Linked DNA regions of Oryzias latipes. The protein of the gene in region 3 purifies or fractionates together with the protein of the main gene of each other region. This does not show direct contact. Links are inferred from orthologs where the notes say so. Each region holds a gene or a part of one and is shown on either strand. Other genes may lie near its edges.

Region 1 (5,276 bases), on a different chromosome or scaffold from region 3:
AAAAGAAAAACAGAAGAATTTATAAGGATATGAAAATTACAGGCAAAACATTTGTATTAAAAGAGAAACAATTTTTAGTTTTCTCACAAACCAACAACGGTTTTCTCAAATTCACACAAAGAATAGAGGATGAACTCCTGAGGACCAGACTGTGTGGACGACCCAGCAGCCCCTCCCTGAAGCTCTTAAATTTTAGTTCAAGTTGGAGACTTGTGCCATAAATAACCGGAAGACAAAAATGATTTTTAGAATGTTCTCTAAAAATTGTGTTAAGAGAAAATGGCCATCCCTGGTACCCATGAGGCGCTGTCCCCTAATGGGTTAGTGACTTGCAACGCTGGGATGGAGCGGTTTGACCCGGACTAGGCGGGACAGTCCAAGTCGCAGCCCCTGGCTGGGTGACTTCACCGGTGGACTGTGTGATGATGAGGCGCTTTTACCAATCTGAGCTGGAATATAGTATTAATATAAATATTAGCCTTCAATCTGATTACAGCAGTTTAAATAACAGAAAGAGTAAGTGCATTGATAAGCTGTACCTGGTGGGTTCCACTTGGGTACTTTCCCCGCTGCTGGGCTCAGAGAGGATGCAGGCTTTGTGGAAGGAGGTCTGGTGGGTGTCGGTTTGGACGTTGGAGGACTTTTCACCGGTTTGGAAGCAGCTAAAATGTTTTAAAAGGCTTAGTAACAAAAATCAAGAGGATGGAAAACGTCAGCCGTTGAAACAAACCTGCTGCTTCAGGCTTCGTCTTTGACGGTTGTTTGACTTTTTTAGAAGTGGGAGCTGGTTTGATTCTGTCTTTTGGGGAGACTTTGTCCTTCTTTTGGGTCTTTGTGGGTTTCTTGACTGTAAATTCTTCATCCTCACTCTCAGATGGCTCACTGAAATCTTCATCACTTTCTGGATCTGGAAAAGCAAAGAGCTGTTACACTTATGAAAACCAAGAGAACAGTTTTTTATGGAGCTTTGGAAGAAAAAAGTGCTAACCGGGTGTAAGTTTGGGTTGATAGTCGTCATCGTCATCTTTGCATTTTTTCACTTCAGCTGTTTTAGAAGAAGTCTTCTTTGAGGCGGATGATCTGATCTCTGACGAGATTGCGTCTAAGCCTGGGACCCACAAACGACAATAAAAACACAAAAAAATGAGTAAACTGAAAGAAAATGTCGATTAGACGAAGAAAAACATATTGATCGGGGATTTGGGAGGGGAGAACAATACTTACCCAAAACTGCTCCATCCACACTGCAGTTAGAAAAGCGCAAAGTAGTCGGATCCGTATTTTCATCCATGGGGATTTGAATCTTTCCATCTGCTGGAGAAATTTTTTTTTTTCCAGAAAGAATTTGTTACCACTCTCAGAGAAAAACAAATCAACTCAGCATTTTTCAAGACAAAACAAACCTTTAGGAGATGACTCCTTCAGCCCATCTGTGTTGTTGAGCAAGGACAGTGTGATGGCTGCCTCAAGGTCTCTGTCATAAAGTTTTTCATCCAGTGGTTTTCTGAGAATATTAAGTGTTAATTGGTTAAAAACTAAATTAGTTAAAATAATTTTTAACTTCTCAGGTGCCAAACCATTTTGTTGCTGCTCAGGGATAGGTACGGGATCATAGAGGGCCAGGGGCTCAAAGTCAGAAAAGGGCAGCAAAAAAACACATTTTTTTGTTGTTTAAACTATATGGAAATTAAGCAAAAAAAAAAAGTACTAATAGATGAATATTCAGCTATGTGACCTGTATGGGTAAAAGTGATACAATTGTCATCTTTTATTAAAATAAATTATTGTCAACATGACTTTATCGTAGACTTGAAAGACATCCAAGACAATAAAACACTGAGGGCTATTTATTTTGCCATTGTGCTGCAGACATAGTTGAAAAACAGATTGTAATACACAGATATACCATAACTTTCATCCCAAAATTCCCAGCGTATTTTTTTACACAACAAATGAAATATTTACACAACTGCATTTTATCATTTTCTCCTGATTCACAACAATTTAGATAAAGAAATACTTAGAAATGAAATTTTAAGCTTACTTTTCTTCATATTTGTCCTCCATCATCAGAAAAATGCCACAAGAACATGTAAAAAACACCAAAAAGTCCTTTTTCATCTGAGTGGGTCTTTAGGACTAATGTTTACTCAAGAGGTGGAGATAACTTGAGAGGCTCACAATAATCCAAAGATCCATAAGTGACAATAAAATCCCCCAAAACATCTAAATGTCCAACGGTGTACCTGATCTTTTCTTTCTGTGACGACTCAGAGACAACTTCCTGACTTGAAGACTTTCTCTGTTGTTGTTTCACTTCTTCCTTGGCTTTTTTGTGAGGTGGAGCCTTCACGGAGGCAAAATCTTCATCTGACACAACAAAGAAACAGGCTAATCAAAAGGGGTTACCTGGTAAACGCTGTAAAACTAAATGCAACTTTGGGTAATTAAAGTTGAATCGGTATAAAGGAGTAGGCTTTAAGCGTCTGGGTCCTTTATGTCTATCGTTCTCTAGTTCTTCCAAATACAGAATCTTTTGAATAACTATAGTATAGTTATCAGCGAATGCAGACATGTATCTTTAGTTTTTATAATGTTTGGACTAACTAAACCAAACATGGAAGGTGTTTTCACACAGAAGAGAAGCTAAGTTTGAAGTTAAGTCTTAAAACTTAAATTAAGAGAAAGACGTAGAGTAGCAACACAATTGTTGTTGTGAATCATTGAACATATGATATTAGACAAAAAATTTGAAAATAAAAGTTGGATGAACAAAACACAAATAACTCACCATCCTCAAAATCCTTGGCTTCACTATAATTCACAACCTTTGTCTTTCTGTAACAAATAAGCAAACGTAGAGAAATAACTTAAGAGCGTCTTTTCTATTCACATTTGACAAGTAATTAAAAAACGATAAACTAATGAAAATGTTTCTTGCTCACCTCGACGGCCGGTCCATCCCTTTATAGGATTTTTGACAAATTATACCCTTAGTTTATCCAACGATCAATAAGGACATTAACGGCGATTTAGCCGCTATTTTACCCTTCGATCACATGAAGCTTAAGCTAGCCGGTAATTTTGCAGCAAAGCTGATTTAAATCAAAAGCCTAACACCTAACGTACTGAGGAAAAAACTTTACTTCACTTCCTCATACGTTGATACATTAATGTATACTAGTTTTGTATAGCGACAATAAAATAAGCGACTTCTGGTTTTAAGCAGCCCGCCTGAACTGACCAGAAGTGACGTCACGCTGTGTTGATTAATTTGACGGTAGCGGAAGTTGATGAAAAAAGCGGAAGTTGATTCGAGTTTATTTTTTTTACGTTTTAGTTTAGTTGTTTTTAATAAAATACCACTAGTAAAAATGTTTTATTTAAATTTTTTTAGTAAACCCATTGTAAATAAATTAAAGAAAGAAAAAAATGCACAACATTGTTTTTATTTTGAGTGAAAAATGTATCGTATCTACTGTTTATGAAAGTAGATTAGTTTTCTTAATTTATGCCAGCAGTACAGATAATACATATATAAAAAATTAATAATTTATAGATGTAATTTCACCATAAAGCACCATATTTTCTCAATTTCTTAACGATATATTTTTATACATAAAATCAATATCACACTCTTCTAACAGGAATGGTTACAAATATTCAAAAATATTGATTGTTTTCAAATTTAAAACAATCAGTATTTGTGAATCTTTATATGTATTTATTTAAATAAAGCCCCTCACTGTTTGATCTTGTTAATGTATTTCACATTGTGTATTTGTTCTCCTGTTGTATACTCTTCAATAAAATTGAAAAAGAAAATTGCATTATTCTTTTAAGTCAACTTAAAAAAATTTGGGGAGGATTTTACAGAATTAGTGACATTAGGTGACAAAATTAAGGCTTTAAAATCATGAGCATAATTACTAAACAAGTGTGTCATAATGAACTAACATTAAATGGAATGTAATTCCTGTAAACACAATAAAATGATGTATATTTGCAGTATTTGAATAGGAAAAAAAATATTTTTATTTGTTATATTGATTTTTAAAATGGTTGCATACAATTGAAATGTGTGTTGTATACTATAATTGTATTTAATTGTATTTGAGGTGTATAATTCTTTTATATTTTTTATTTCCTTAAATATTTTTGCACATTTTAAATTTTCCTTTCTTTGCTCCCTTATGCCTGATCCCCAGAGTTGTAACAATTTAATTTCTTCACAGCAGGATGTAAAAAAAGTTTATTGTATCTTATTTTTTAATATAGATGAGAATATTTTCTGGGTAGCTTTGATTACATATAATAAAAAAGACTGTTGTTGGTGCTAAACGGACAGCTGTTTGTCAAGGGGTAAAGAATCCAACCATCCAACAGGTGGCAGTATAAACTAGATGATTCAGGACTTCTGATGTTCCAGTTCCTGGGTCTGATTGACACTAAATTGACACGTCCTCAACTGCCCAGTCGCCCACACACATGGGAAGAAGCAATCACAGTTCTGAAGAGAGGTCAAAACGAAACCTCCCCAGATTTGACTGTGGTTCTTCGAGAGAGCAGCCACTGTATCGAGGGTTGTCATTTTCCAGCTTGTGAGTGGGTGGTTGTCCGCTGTGGTTTGTCACACAGTGGCCCTGGAGCAGATGCTCAGGGCTGTGAAAGGCCATGTTTTTAGGCCCAGAGAGGGAAGGAAGACATGCAGCCGTGGGGCCAAAAGGTCCTGTGGTTGCACATTCCTAAACTCCTCCAGCTCTGCCTACAGCTGGGTCTAAAATACCCTCTCGTGTCATGCAAACAGTGCGGTCACAACATCATGCTTCCGTCACACATATAGATGTTTACATTGTATTTGTAACAGAGCAGCTGTAGTTGTTGTCTATTCTAAAATCCAGTGGTTTTCAACCTTGTTTTGCTAATCTAAACTCTAAATCTATAATTTTGAGTCTCTTTCTTAACCATTGTGCTATCCTAGGCACTTTACCATTGGGAGTTGGGTCAACTAGACCCCACCAGACAGTGCGCTGAACCTTTTTTCTTCAATGATTTGTGATCTTCACTGGTGTCCATGGATTACATGAAATCTTTCCACCTTCATCCACCTTTGTCATGGTAGGGAGAACACGTCAATGTAAGGGTGGGGTCATTTAAGATAGCACAAGGGTTACTCTGAAGTACCCTTTGGAGTGCCACAACAAATCTCCAGGTGCACCCCATTCCTGAATTTATGTTTAGAACTTTCTGGTAACAAATTTGCGGAAAAAAACGAA
Region 2 (5,176 bases), on a different chromosome or scaffold from region 3:
AAGTTTGCACGCATCATAGCTGCTATTTTGTACCGTTCTTTCATGCAGATCTTCTCAGACTTTGAACTCCCTCCACAGACTCTATATTGGATTGAAGTCCAGAGACCTGCTAGGCCACTCCAGAACCGTTAAACGCTTTTTATGAAGCCACTTCTTTGCTGGCCAGGTGATGTGTTTGGGGTCACTATAATGATGGAATACCCAGTCATGTTTTCTCTTCAATGCTCTCACTGTTGGAAGCAGGTTTTTGCCGAAAATCTCACATACATGGCTCCATTCATCCTTTCCATCATACAAATCAGTCGTCCTGTCCCCTTTGTGGAAAAGCAGTCCTAAATCATGATGCTTCTGCCCCCATGCTTCACCATGGGTATGATGCTTTTGGTAGGCAACTCAGCATTCTTCTCGCTCCAAACATGATGAGTGGCGTTTATATGAAGGAGTTTCATTTTGGTCTCATCTAACCACATGACTTTCTCCCAGTCTTCCTCTGGATCATCAGTACGGTATCTAGAGAGTTCTGGATCTGTACTGGCTGATTGAAACCCATGATCATGTAGTGTGTTACCAATAGTAACTTTTGTTACTGTGGTCCCAGTTTTCTTCAGGTCACTGACCACTTCCCTCCTCCATGTTTCCTCAAGAACCATATTCTTTATTTCTTTATTATGCTCAAGATTATTTGAAGCCCACAGCGTGAGTAATTCTTTCCTGGATTCTCTCTTTTTTTAAATTTTGTCTCTCACAATTGAACTTTACCTATGATAAATATTACAGACCTCTCATCTTTTAAGGAAGACAACTTGCAGAATTAGGGACTGACAAAGGGTTCTTGGTCCACTGTAAATGCACAAATATGCTGTTAATTTTGATAGTCAAAGAAATAAAATCACAATAACTCATTGAAAAGATTTTTTTAGCTTAATAATGTCAAAATTAGACACAATTTATTCATCTATCTTTCAAATTTACTCAGAATTTAAAATGATAGACAGTGATACTATTTAATGTATCTGTAATAGCAAAGCAGCTCCCCAAACATGAATTTTCCACACTAACAGTTTCTTTTCCAGGTTATGGCTTGTAACTTCACGCTAATATAACACTCATGCTATTCTTTGTCTCTCAGGAGAATGGACTCCTCTGAGCAACCCCTCCAGATGGTTTATGACTACTTGACATCAATGGGGTACGCTGACCTGACGCGGGTGCAGCATGAAGCTGCTAACTCTGACCTCAGCTGTTTGATCCGTTTCTACAGTGGTAAGTACTGACTCAGTAATCTCAAATTCCTTAAATTTCCACTCTCTGCTGCAGGAACAAACAAATAGTCCACTTTTTGTGAAAAAAAGCGATCTAAACTGAAAAAATAACAAGAATATAATACTAAAACTAATTGAATATTTATTTCTTTTGTAAGTGACCATGGAATAAGCGGAATAATGGAAGACAAAGTGTGCATTATCAGAATTAACGCACACCATGGAAGTCTGAACCATCTGGCGTGAAGCAGAGGACGGTTGCTTCCGTGAAGTGCGTTAGTTTCTGATAATGCACACTTCAAAGGCCATTATCCCTTACATAGAGGCCCTGCTCCTTACAAATGTGTTTGAACTTCATAAACCAATTGATGATTATGCCGAGTCAGCAGGATCTTTTTTGTGTGGGACTTTTCCCACTGCTGTGTCAGAGAAAGAGGAACTAAAAAAAAAAAAAAAAATCTGCCTCTTGACTTTCATGCGGCCAGATTCCTTCCTGTCTCTTTAAGTGGTTTGGATTTATTTTATCAAACGGATCCTCACTGTGCTCTTTCTTAAAAAATTTGCCTTTTTTTCAATAAAGGATTCTGAAATGCCACCCGGGTTTAATTGCGCTAAAAAAACTTCCTTGTCTTTAAGAGCTATGTTTATTAACTGTGCACTTTCCTTTTTTCCAATTTCTTTGTTTAAAAACTTCTTAAACGTTTAAGAATTTCATTTTCCACAATTGCAATCAAATTTCATATGATGAAAGTATTTTAGAAAAGGTAATGGTGCCAAGGTAAACGCAACCTTTCTTAGTCCAAAGGAGATTTTGATTTGTGCAGCTTCACCTCTGTGACATGTTCAGCTGGAAACTAACTTATTAAAAAAACGTTAGCCTGCTTCTAGCCAGATCTTGCCTACTTCTCAGCTGTTACCAGAATCAAACAAAGAATTCTGTGCTCCAACACAAAAGACTGTTATATTACATATTTTGATCCTTTTTTTTGTTTTGTTTTTTACTGAGGAAACTACATTTTTGGGGGTTTTAGCAGCTACTGATTCTCAGAAAATGCAAAAGTGGTGTTTACCTTCAATAACATCTTAGATCAAGAATCAGCAGCAGTAATAACTGTGCACCTTTTATTAGTCTTCAATAAAGTCTTGGCAACAATTAATAATGATCTGCAGTAGCATGAGCTCCTTGCTGCCCTTTTAAAGGAAACAAGACAAGCATAGAAATTGTGTTTTTCCACATTGATCTTTACCCACCTTTTTTATTTAAAGTGGAAAAAGTGCCATGTGATTTTTAGTTCTTATCCCGTTGTTTTACTGCCTTTTTGTCTCACTTGAGCTGTCGTGTCTCAAAGTCCAGAGCAACAGGTGATGTTGTCAACTTTGTAACCATGCATCTGACACAAACACACCCTTCTGCTGTGGTGCACAGATGAAATGAAAATAAACACAAAAAGTGGGAGTAAAGATTTCAAGAGAGAAACCTTAATGTCAACAGCCACAAGGATCTGAGTTGCAGCTGCAGCACAGATGAAGCTGGCAGGAGGCCCTGCTCCTTGTCCTCCTGCCTGTGGGATCTTTTTCATCTTTGAGCTCAGAATCCTGAAGGTGCTGAGAGTTCACACCAACTCTATTGTCTGTCAGGCTGCCACATGCCATCATGTTCAAAACCAGCTGGATAGCATCAAACAATGATTACTTTGAGTGGGACTGATTTGCTAATTAAAGCTAAAATGAGATTTCTTTTAAAAAAAATAGGTGACAAAGTGCATAAAACTCAGAGTTACAATAATGTTGTCCTCACAGAAAGTAATCAACATGATTTGAATACCCAGTAGAGAGGGGAGCTACTTCTTGGATGTGAACCCTGAGAAACAGTCAGGAAAATTCTGCTCAGATCCAGGCTCCTATAGAACTGCCCTCAGCAGCAGAGCTCTGCAGAGAGACAACCAGCTCTCTGTCATTTACTGACAGCTCCCTGTAATGGGATGTTTCTGTGAAGGAGTTCTGTTTCTTCTTGAGTTTAACCCTGTACAGTTTTTCACATAGAGGTGATAATAAAATCTGGCCACCATCCAAACTGCCTAATTTCTGGGAACTTTTATGCAGTCTGTCCTTTTTTATTAATGTTAGATGATGTTGCTACATATTTATTTTGACTTAAAATAAAAGAAAAAGCTGCACATTTTTATATGTTATCTCTGTACTGAACTTGAATTTGCAGTCAAAAACAGTTTAGGGTTTTGGTTTGTAGCTGAACCTTCAGTGCATGCTAATGCAGTCCATGCAGTCGTGGGTGAGGCATAAGCTGTGGTGTGCAAGCAGGCGGGCAGGCAGGCAGGCAGGCAGGCAGGCAGGCAGGCAGGCGGGCAGGCGGGCAGGCGGGCAGGCGGGCAGGCGGGCAGGCGGGCAGGCGGGCAGGCGGGCAGGCAGGCAGGCAGGCAGGCAGGCAGGCAGGCCAGGCAAGCAGGCAGGCAGGCAAAGGCTGGCAGGAAGACCATGCATTTCTAAAGAAAACTATTTCACAAATAATTTGAAATTGGAAAAATAGCTGCACTTTAACTCGTAAAATAATCATTTGAATGTTTTGGTCTCTTATCAGTGTCTGGATGAATCTTTTTTTTTGACTAGCCCTTTAATAGCTTTCATCTACAAATCAGCGTTGCTCCACTTGCTGCTTATTCCAGAAATGCGCAAACACCTCAGTTAAAGTCAAAAGACAAGTGGTGGGATCTTAAATTATGCATGCAGACTTTTATTCAAGCGTATGTAAATGTAAACAACACCTTTCTGATCTAGCTGCTATGACTGCAGCAATTACATTTATGCAAAAAAGTGTTGAGGTAGATATTTTTGATCTCTTAAAATTTGGAAGCAACATGTTTCCTCAGTGGATCTTTGTGTTGAAATTATGTTTTTTTTAGATTTAGTTTTCTTATCGTTTTATTACTTTTTTTTCCATCTTTCTGTCTGTTCTCATGTCATCTAAAAAAAATGTTTGTGAGATGAAAGAGCAGCAAAGTTTGCCGTCCTGCAGTTTTTCTGATGTGTCATGTAAATTGAGAAGCCCTTACTTTTACTGTGATTTTTTATTTTTTATTTTACTAGATAAAGAGCACAAACTCATTTCAGATTAGGATGGTGGAGATAAGAAGTCACACGCTCCATCAGTTACTTTTCACATTGCTGTAAAAATGTTTCACACAGGCTTCTGGTTAGCTCAGGGCCTTCTGTGGCACCATCTCTTTAGAAAAGTGTTTTGCACAACATGTCGCTGCGTTGACAACCAAACCCAGACTGAGCCACCGGGAACGCTCAGCACTTCTTTTCTATTTACTGCTGGCAGGATGGGCTGATTTGGGTTCTTTGCAGAACAGTTAGAAGATGCAGAGGGCAGTATGCAGATTTACTTACTCTGTTTGGACTTTGATATTGTGAACAGAAAGTTTCCCTAGCAACTAACAGTTTTGCAGGCCTTGGGGTTTGCCTGTGTGTTTACTTTGGAACATGGCTTCTAAAGGCTGGGACTTTCAGTTGGGTGTTTTGAAAAAATAAAATTTTAGCAGATGACTGTAAGGTTTTGAAAAACAATTGGCATTTTCTCCCGTGTGTTTAGAATGTTTGTAGTTAACAGATTACATTTAGTTTTGTACAATAAAAAAAAGGTTTATAAAAAGGGTTATACAACTTTTAAATGTCACAGAAAAGGAGATTGGAAATATGCAAAACATGGACAAAACACAGCGTGAACATAGAGGGGAAAAAAAGTGGAAAATATTTCTGGTTTAAATAAAATCACAAGGCACAACATCGTAATGTGTTCATTTCAATAAAGGATTCAGTGTTTTAAAAGATTTTATTCAGAAAATTTTTCTTGACACATTAAAATGTCTGCAACAGGGATTTTTATTATGGATGAG
Region 3 (5,276 bases):
CTCTTGTCATTCAGAATGTGGCACTGAATAATACTGGCACCTCCTGCATAAAAAAGAGAGGCTATTTCAGTTCATAAAATAAAATAGAAGGCGACATGAGGAAGATTTACCAAGAAAAGGACGTTTTTTTTGTACCTTTAATAACTTGTTCTGGCTGAGTACACAATGGCGTCAGGGGAGTGGTGCAGTCATTGTCGTATTCCCCTGATGATCTGAAGTTGTGGATTCCCTTTAAAGACTGAACAAACAAAACCTAGATTAAAAAGTTTCATTCTGATATAAGCGTCCACATGAACAACAGTGAGACCTGCCTCCATGCAAGCCGCTGTGTTCCCTGTGCTGACCAGTGATCTGAGAGCGGCCACGCATGCTTACCCATTTATTAACGGATGACTTGGTGGTGGAAACCCAGATTGCTGGAGGTGGGTCAGCAGATCTGTCCAATTCCATCTGAGCACGAGACAAAAAGACAGAAAAAATCTTCATGACAGCATGAATGAAGAACAAAACATCAACATGTGTTATTTAATGCGATAGCTTTAGTTAAAATTTTATAAAACAAAAAAAGAGACCAACAATGTCCGGATGATTTAAGTTAGTGGGGAAAAAAATGGAAGCTTGATTAAACTACTAGAACTGACAAGTAGAGCTACAATTATTTAGACAGAACTGTTGTGCTATAAAAAAAGTTACTAAAAGTGTATATTTATTTTATAAAGCCACAGTTTGGGGACATTAGACAGTTTGCTAAAAGAGTGTTTTGTTCTGTTACTTTGAGCACTGGGGCCTTCTCCTCGCAGATGAGCACACGGATGTCTGGGTTCCGCAGGTCCGTACAGTAGATCTTCTTGTCTCTGCCTCCTGAATAGACATGCGTAAAGGCCTCGTTGACCTGCAGGGCCCACACGCCTTCGTCGTGCACTCGGTACGTGGCGATACACCTCTGCTGGCCCAGAGACCAGAGGCGGATGGTCCCATCCGAGCTGCCGGACAGACACTGCCGGGGGAGCAGAGCGGGATTAAAGAGTTTGGGATTCCTGCGGCTCAGCATGATGAGGTTTTTGAAGCGCTTTGGTGAATCACCTGCGTGCCGTCTCGGTTCAGCAGCAAGGACTTGACGTTGTCCGTGTGACCTTTTAGCTTCATGAGTTTTGCACATGTCCGAGGATCCCACACTCTCAGAACCTGAAGGTTGGAGAAAGAGCTAAATTTATGTAGATAAACAAACCTTACAGTTTGATTACAATTTATAGTGCAGCTGAATTAAAGCAACAATTAACAACCAATTTGGCCTCAAACAAATAAAAAAACCAAAGCAAAATTCAAGGCAAAGAAGATATATTTAAAATGTTTGTAGTCTAATTTTGCCAAGATTACTACTATAAGGCCTAAGTGAATGAATGTGTGTGACAGATTTATTACATAGAAGAATTGTCATTGTACTGCCTCATAAAGAGCATTCAATGTTGGAACAATAGAGAGGATACCCCCCTTTAGGAGGAAAAAACTTCCAAAAACAACAACACTTAGTAGAGGCAATAGACTAGCAGGATTCTTAGGACAAAAAAACAAACAACAAAAACTCACGCTGTCAAGATTTAAAATCTTACAGATCTAACTTCAGGCTAAAGCAAGATAAAAAATATAAGAAATATGAAAACAAAGCAAAAAGAAAAAATTTTGTGCATTGGTTCACCATAGATTTTTTTTTTTTTGGAGATGTGTGTCAAACCTTTTCAGTGGATCCAGAAACAATAACTGTGCCCATCTGGTTCATTGCCAGACTGTAGATTGAGTCCTTGTTCCCGCTCAGCGATGACGCTGAAGGAACACAGAAAAGCCCAAAGGTGGATCACAAACACGTCTACCCATGAAAGCGGGCTAAACCCATCACATGACTATAGGTGTACTCACTAGTGACTGTGTTATTCGAAGCAGTGAGGGCAGTTAGCGTGTTTACGTCCCAAAGAAAGATCTGCCGATCCAGACCGGCCGATGCTACAAGCTCTTTGTCTTTGGCGTACGCCAAAGCTTTAACATAGTCCTTGTGCGTTCGTAACGTTGACATGCAAAATCCTTTATGCGCGTTCCATACTTTCACCGTTGTATCTGAAGAGGCAGATATCACTGGAGGAGAAGGAGAGGTGAGTTGCTAGAGGCTAAACACAAACTTTGGATCAAATCTGCTGTTAATACTTATAAACTCACATGTTTTCCCATTGCAGCAAAGGACTATATCGTTTACCCAATCTGTATGATGCTCCATTGATGCAATGTATGGGTCCTGCTGCAAAAAACGTAGCATCATTTAAAAGAGTATCTCTGTCGCTTTATATGCAGCTGCAAAACTCTAAAACAAAAAAATGTATATATTTAATTGAAGTCATAAACTGTACTTTGTGCTGATAGACACTCCATATCCGGATGATTGAGTCCCTCCCAGCAGTGAAGAGCCGGTTGAGTGCAGGATCTAGCTGGAGTGCATTCACCCCGTTTCGATTGTACTTCTCCACCTCGTCCCTAATAACGTAAGACACCTGTGGCACAAAGATGCGACTGCAGTCAGCCTCTCTCTTGGACCGGCGCCTGGTTCAGGCTTACAGGCAGTGTTGAACCCACAACACACCCACTTTTGGACGTGGAACACGCTTCACGCACTCGCATCACCGTAAGGGGACGAAGACGTAACCGACACAAAACCTCCCGGTATAATTAGAACACACTATGAAATTAAAGATAGCGTCCCTTGTGAAGCATAACGAATGGGCAGAAAATGGCAGATATATACGGAGACGCTTTCGTCGTACCAGCAATTAGACGCAGCCAGGACACAGTGTAGCTTAACCAGCATCATCGTAACCGTTACGTCAGATTTAGCTAAAACACACCGGCATTTACGCAAAGGGGAAAATGGCCAACTGACATGTAAAGTTTTTCGGATATGCAACTAAGGTATTTGAAGAAGCAAATTGTAAGTTAGAGGCTCCTTTTCCAACGGTGCTAACACCTTACTTAAGCTAAGCTAACAGGGTTAGCCGGCTTGCACCATGACATGAGTCATAGTTGTCACGCCGCTTCCGCAAGTGATTTTTTGCTGCCGCTTCAGCAGGTATGAGACACTTGTGCAAACCTAAAAGACAACAATTACATTGTTCCCACACACTAAGTTCTTATAAAACTCAGAAAACGTACCTGTACTTTCCTCCGCCCAGCGGCATTTTGCCTGTGATGTGTGGCCATCTTGCATGTTGACAGTCAATTCATGTGATGCTACATCCGGTAAAAAAAAAGAAAACAAGAAAACGGTTTCGACGATGTGCATTATGGGTATTGTAGTTAAATGTTTAGGGGAAAAAAGTTAAATGTTTAGTGTCCACTTAGCATGTTGTTTTTTGATTTAGTTTTGAATGTTTTTGATAATACTGGGCAAGTTTTATATTAATAAAATATTTTTTTCAAAAAATCTACCACATTGAAAATGTATTTTACAAGGAGATTTGTTTATATTTTAATTCATTCGAATTTATGAAAATCAAAAAGCAAGAAAACTTCTCACTTTTGCTGAGGACAATAAGTTATATGACAACCCAGTATTTTTTATGTGCTTTATTTTCTTATATGTCTTTATTTTGCCATCTTCTTTTGTTCAAGCATGTAACCAGTTTGTTTGTTTTTTAAGTATCAACATTTAATAAATAATACGTAGGTGTATTTTTATTTTATGTCGTTAGCATAATTCACAGTTGTTGGAAATACATTTGCGGTTTTGCAGTTTTAAAGCTTAAAATTATTTTTTTAAATAAAATGTTCAACATACATATATCTTTAAGTTGTTTCAGATATATGGTTTAATTTTTAATACGAATTTGTGATATTAGGCTAGTCAACATGATCCCTAGAGCCTCCTTTGAGCTTTGTGGGTCTTTCTGTGGTGTTTTATTTTTACTACTCTACAGTTAAAAACTTTATGATGTCTAAGTAGTGCTATAAACCTTTTGGTCTACAAAATTAAAAATACAGTGTACTCTTTTCAGCCTTCTATGTTTTAGGGTATTGCAGGATAATAGAGAATGCAATACCTATCAGTCTTTTCAATTAAGAACTTTGACTCTTTTTGTGATTAAAAAAAGAAAATACTTGTTTTTATATATAACATTATAGTCACATAACAATGTCAAATATTGATATTCTCTTGCATAAATGTAAGTGCTGTTGAACTTAAAGATATACTACATTGATATAAAAGCAAAAAAAAAAAAGATAATTGTTAAAAACAATCAATTCCCCATTTTGACAGGGGAAGTAACGCTGTGTTGTATAAAAAAAACACCAGGGAAAGACTTTCTTTTAATTCTATATTTATTTGTTACTTTTATTTCTGTAGGAGAATATTGTTTAGGGCATTTTTTTATTTTCAACGGCACCTCGTTGAAAATAGTAAATTAGTAACTTAAAAAAAGTTTTAAAAAAAGTGTGCGAATATGGTGTGCGAATATGGATATAAATGAATCCTTTGCACCCCCCCCCCCCCCCCCCCCCGTTATAAGTGTATTTGGCCTCGTCAATGGACAGGTTTAGTCTGCGCATGCGTTGCAGTCTCCAAAACGTTTCACTAGAGGGTGCTAAAGACCACGTGAAGGTCAAGTCCCTGGGACTCTCCATCAACTGTAAAACACGCGCTCCTTCTAACTCCAGCTTCTAACACAGAAAACAGGCTGTGTCAAGTGTGTTTTACTCAGAAGCAAAAACTATTTATATTTTTAGTACATGTTTTTGAACATGTTACGGAAGCTCTGAAAATTAAGCATCTTTTTTTACACATGACTTACCACAATATTATAGTTCAATAACCGGATTAAACAAGATTGATCATGAGAATTTACAACTGAAATTGAGTTTACTGTGTGGTGTGCAGCCAATTTCCAAGCGCCCCCACAAATCCGGCTTGATTAGTGAGCCTGCCATGTTTGAGCCAAGCAGGAGGCGCGCATAGGAGCAATAATCCTGCGTGGTCCAGTTGCATCCTCCCTCCCCCGTGCGCTCTCGCTCAAGGGCAAATCGAGGTACCGCTTCTGCGCACTGCTGGAAAACAGCGCAGCATCCTCTGCTCGCTCGACGGACTTTTTTGTGGGATGAAAAAAGAAGAACCCCGGGATCCTGGAGAAAAGGAGAAACTGTTGCGCACAGTGAAAACTTATAAGATGTCCAACAAGGGCTGATAAACACTCCTCACCCCAAACTCTTTGCTGATTTGTGCGCAAAAAATTTGGGACTCT

Evidence for each region.
Region 1: the proteins of wdr48 (region 3) and rad51ap1 purify together in Homo sapiens (affinity purification with mass spectrometry; 5 studies listed by BioGRID and IntAct, counting the BioPlex papers as one, with this or other methods). This does not show direct contact. The link is inferred for Oryzias latipes from reciprocal best matches to the Homo sapiens genes WDR48 and RAD51AP1.
Region 2: the proteins of wdr48 (region 3) and phlpp2 purify together in Homo sapiens (affinity purification with mass spectrometry; 5 studies listed by BioGRID and IntAct, with this or other methods). This does not show direct contact. The link is inferred for Oryzias latipes from reciprocal best matches to the Homo sapiens genes WDR48 and PHLPP2.

What each region holds. Positions count from the first base shown.
Region 1 is NC_019881.2:17,660,825-17,666,100, forward strand, and holds the start of rad51ap1 (RAD51-associated protein 1), read right to left. Parts: upstream 3,276-5,276; 5' UTR 2,963-3,275; coding exon 2,946-2,962; intron 2,839-2,945; coding exon 2,792-2,838; intron 2,371-2,791; coding exon 2,247-2,370; intron 1,505-2,246; coding exon 1,404-1,504; intron 1,315-1,403; coding exon 1,225-1,314; intron 1,109-1,224; coding exon 989-1,108; intron 908-988; coding exon 731-907; intron 663-730; coding exon 540-662; intron 450-539; coding exon 322-449; 3' UTR 1-321. UniProt on the Homo sapiens protein: Structure-specific DNA-binding protein involved in DNA repair by promoting RAD51-mediated homologous recombination.
Region 2 is NC_019861.2:21,085,361-21,090,536, reverse strand, and holds part of phlpp2 (PH domain leucine-rich repeat-containing protein phosphatase 2), read left to right. Parts: intron 1-1,129; coding exon 1,130-1,263; intron 1,264-5,176. UniProt on the Homo sapiens protein: Protein phosphatase involved in regulation of Akt and PKC signaling.
Region 3 is NC_019875.2:17,403,805-17,409,080, reverse strand, and holds the start of wdr48 (WD repeat-containing protein 48), read right to left. Parts: upstream 3,323-5,276; 5' UTR 3,241-3,322; coding exon 3,193-3,240; intron 2,538-3,192; coding exon 2,397-2,537; intron 2,288-2,396; coding exon 2,209-2,287; intron 2,128-2,208; coding exon 1,915-2,127; intron 1,822-1,914; coding exon 1,733-1,821; intron 1,186-1,732; coding exon 1,084-1,185; intron 998-1,083; coding exon 773-997; intron 451-772; coding exon 376-450; intron 239-375; coding exon 136-238; intron 44-135; coding exon 1-43. UniProt on the Homo sapiens protein: Regulator of deubiquitinating complexes, which acts as a strong activator of USP1, USP12 and USP46. Enhances the USP1-mediated deubiquitination of FANCD2; USP1 being almost inactive by itself.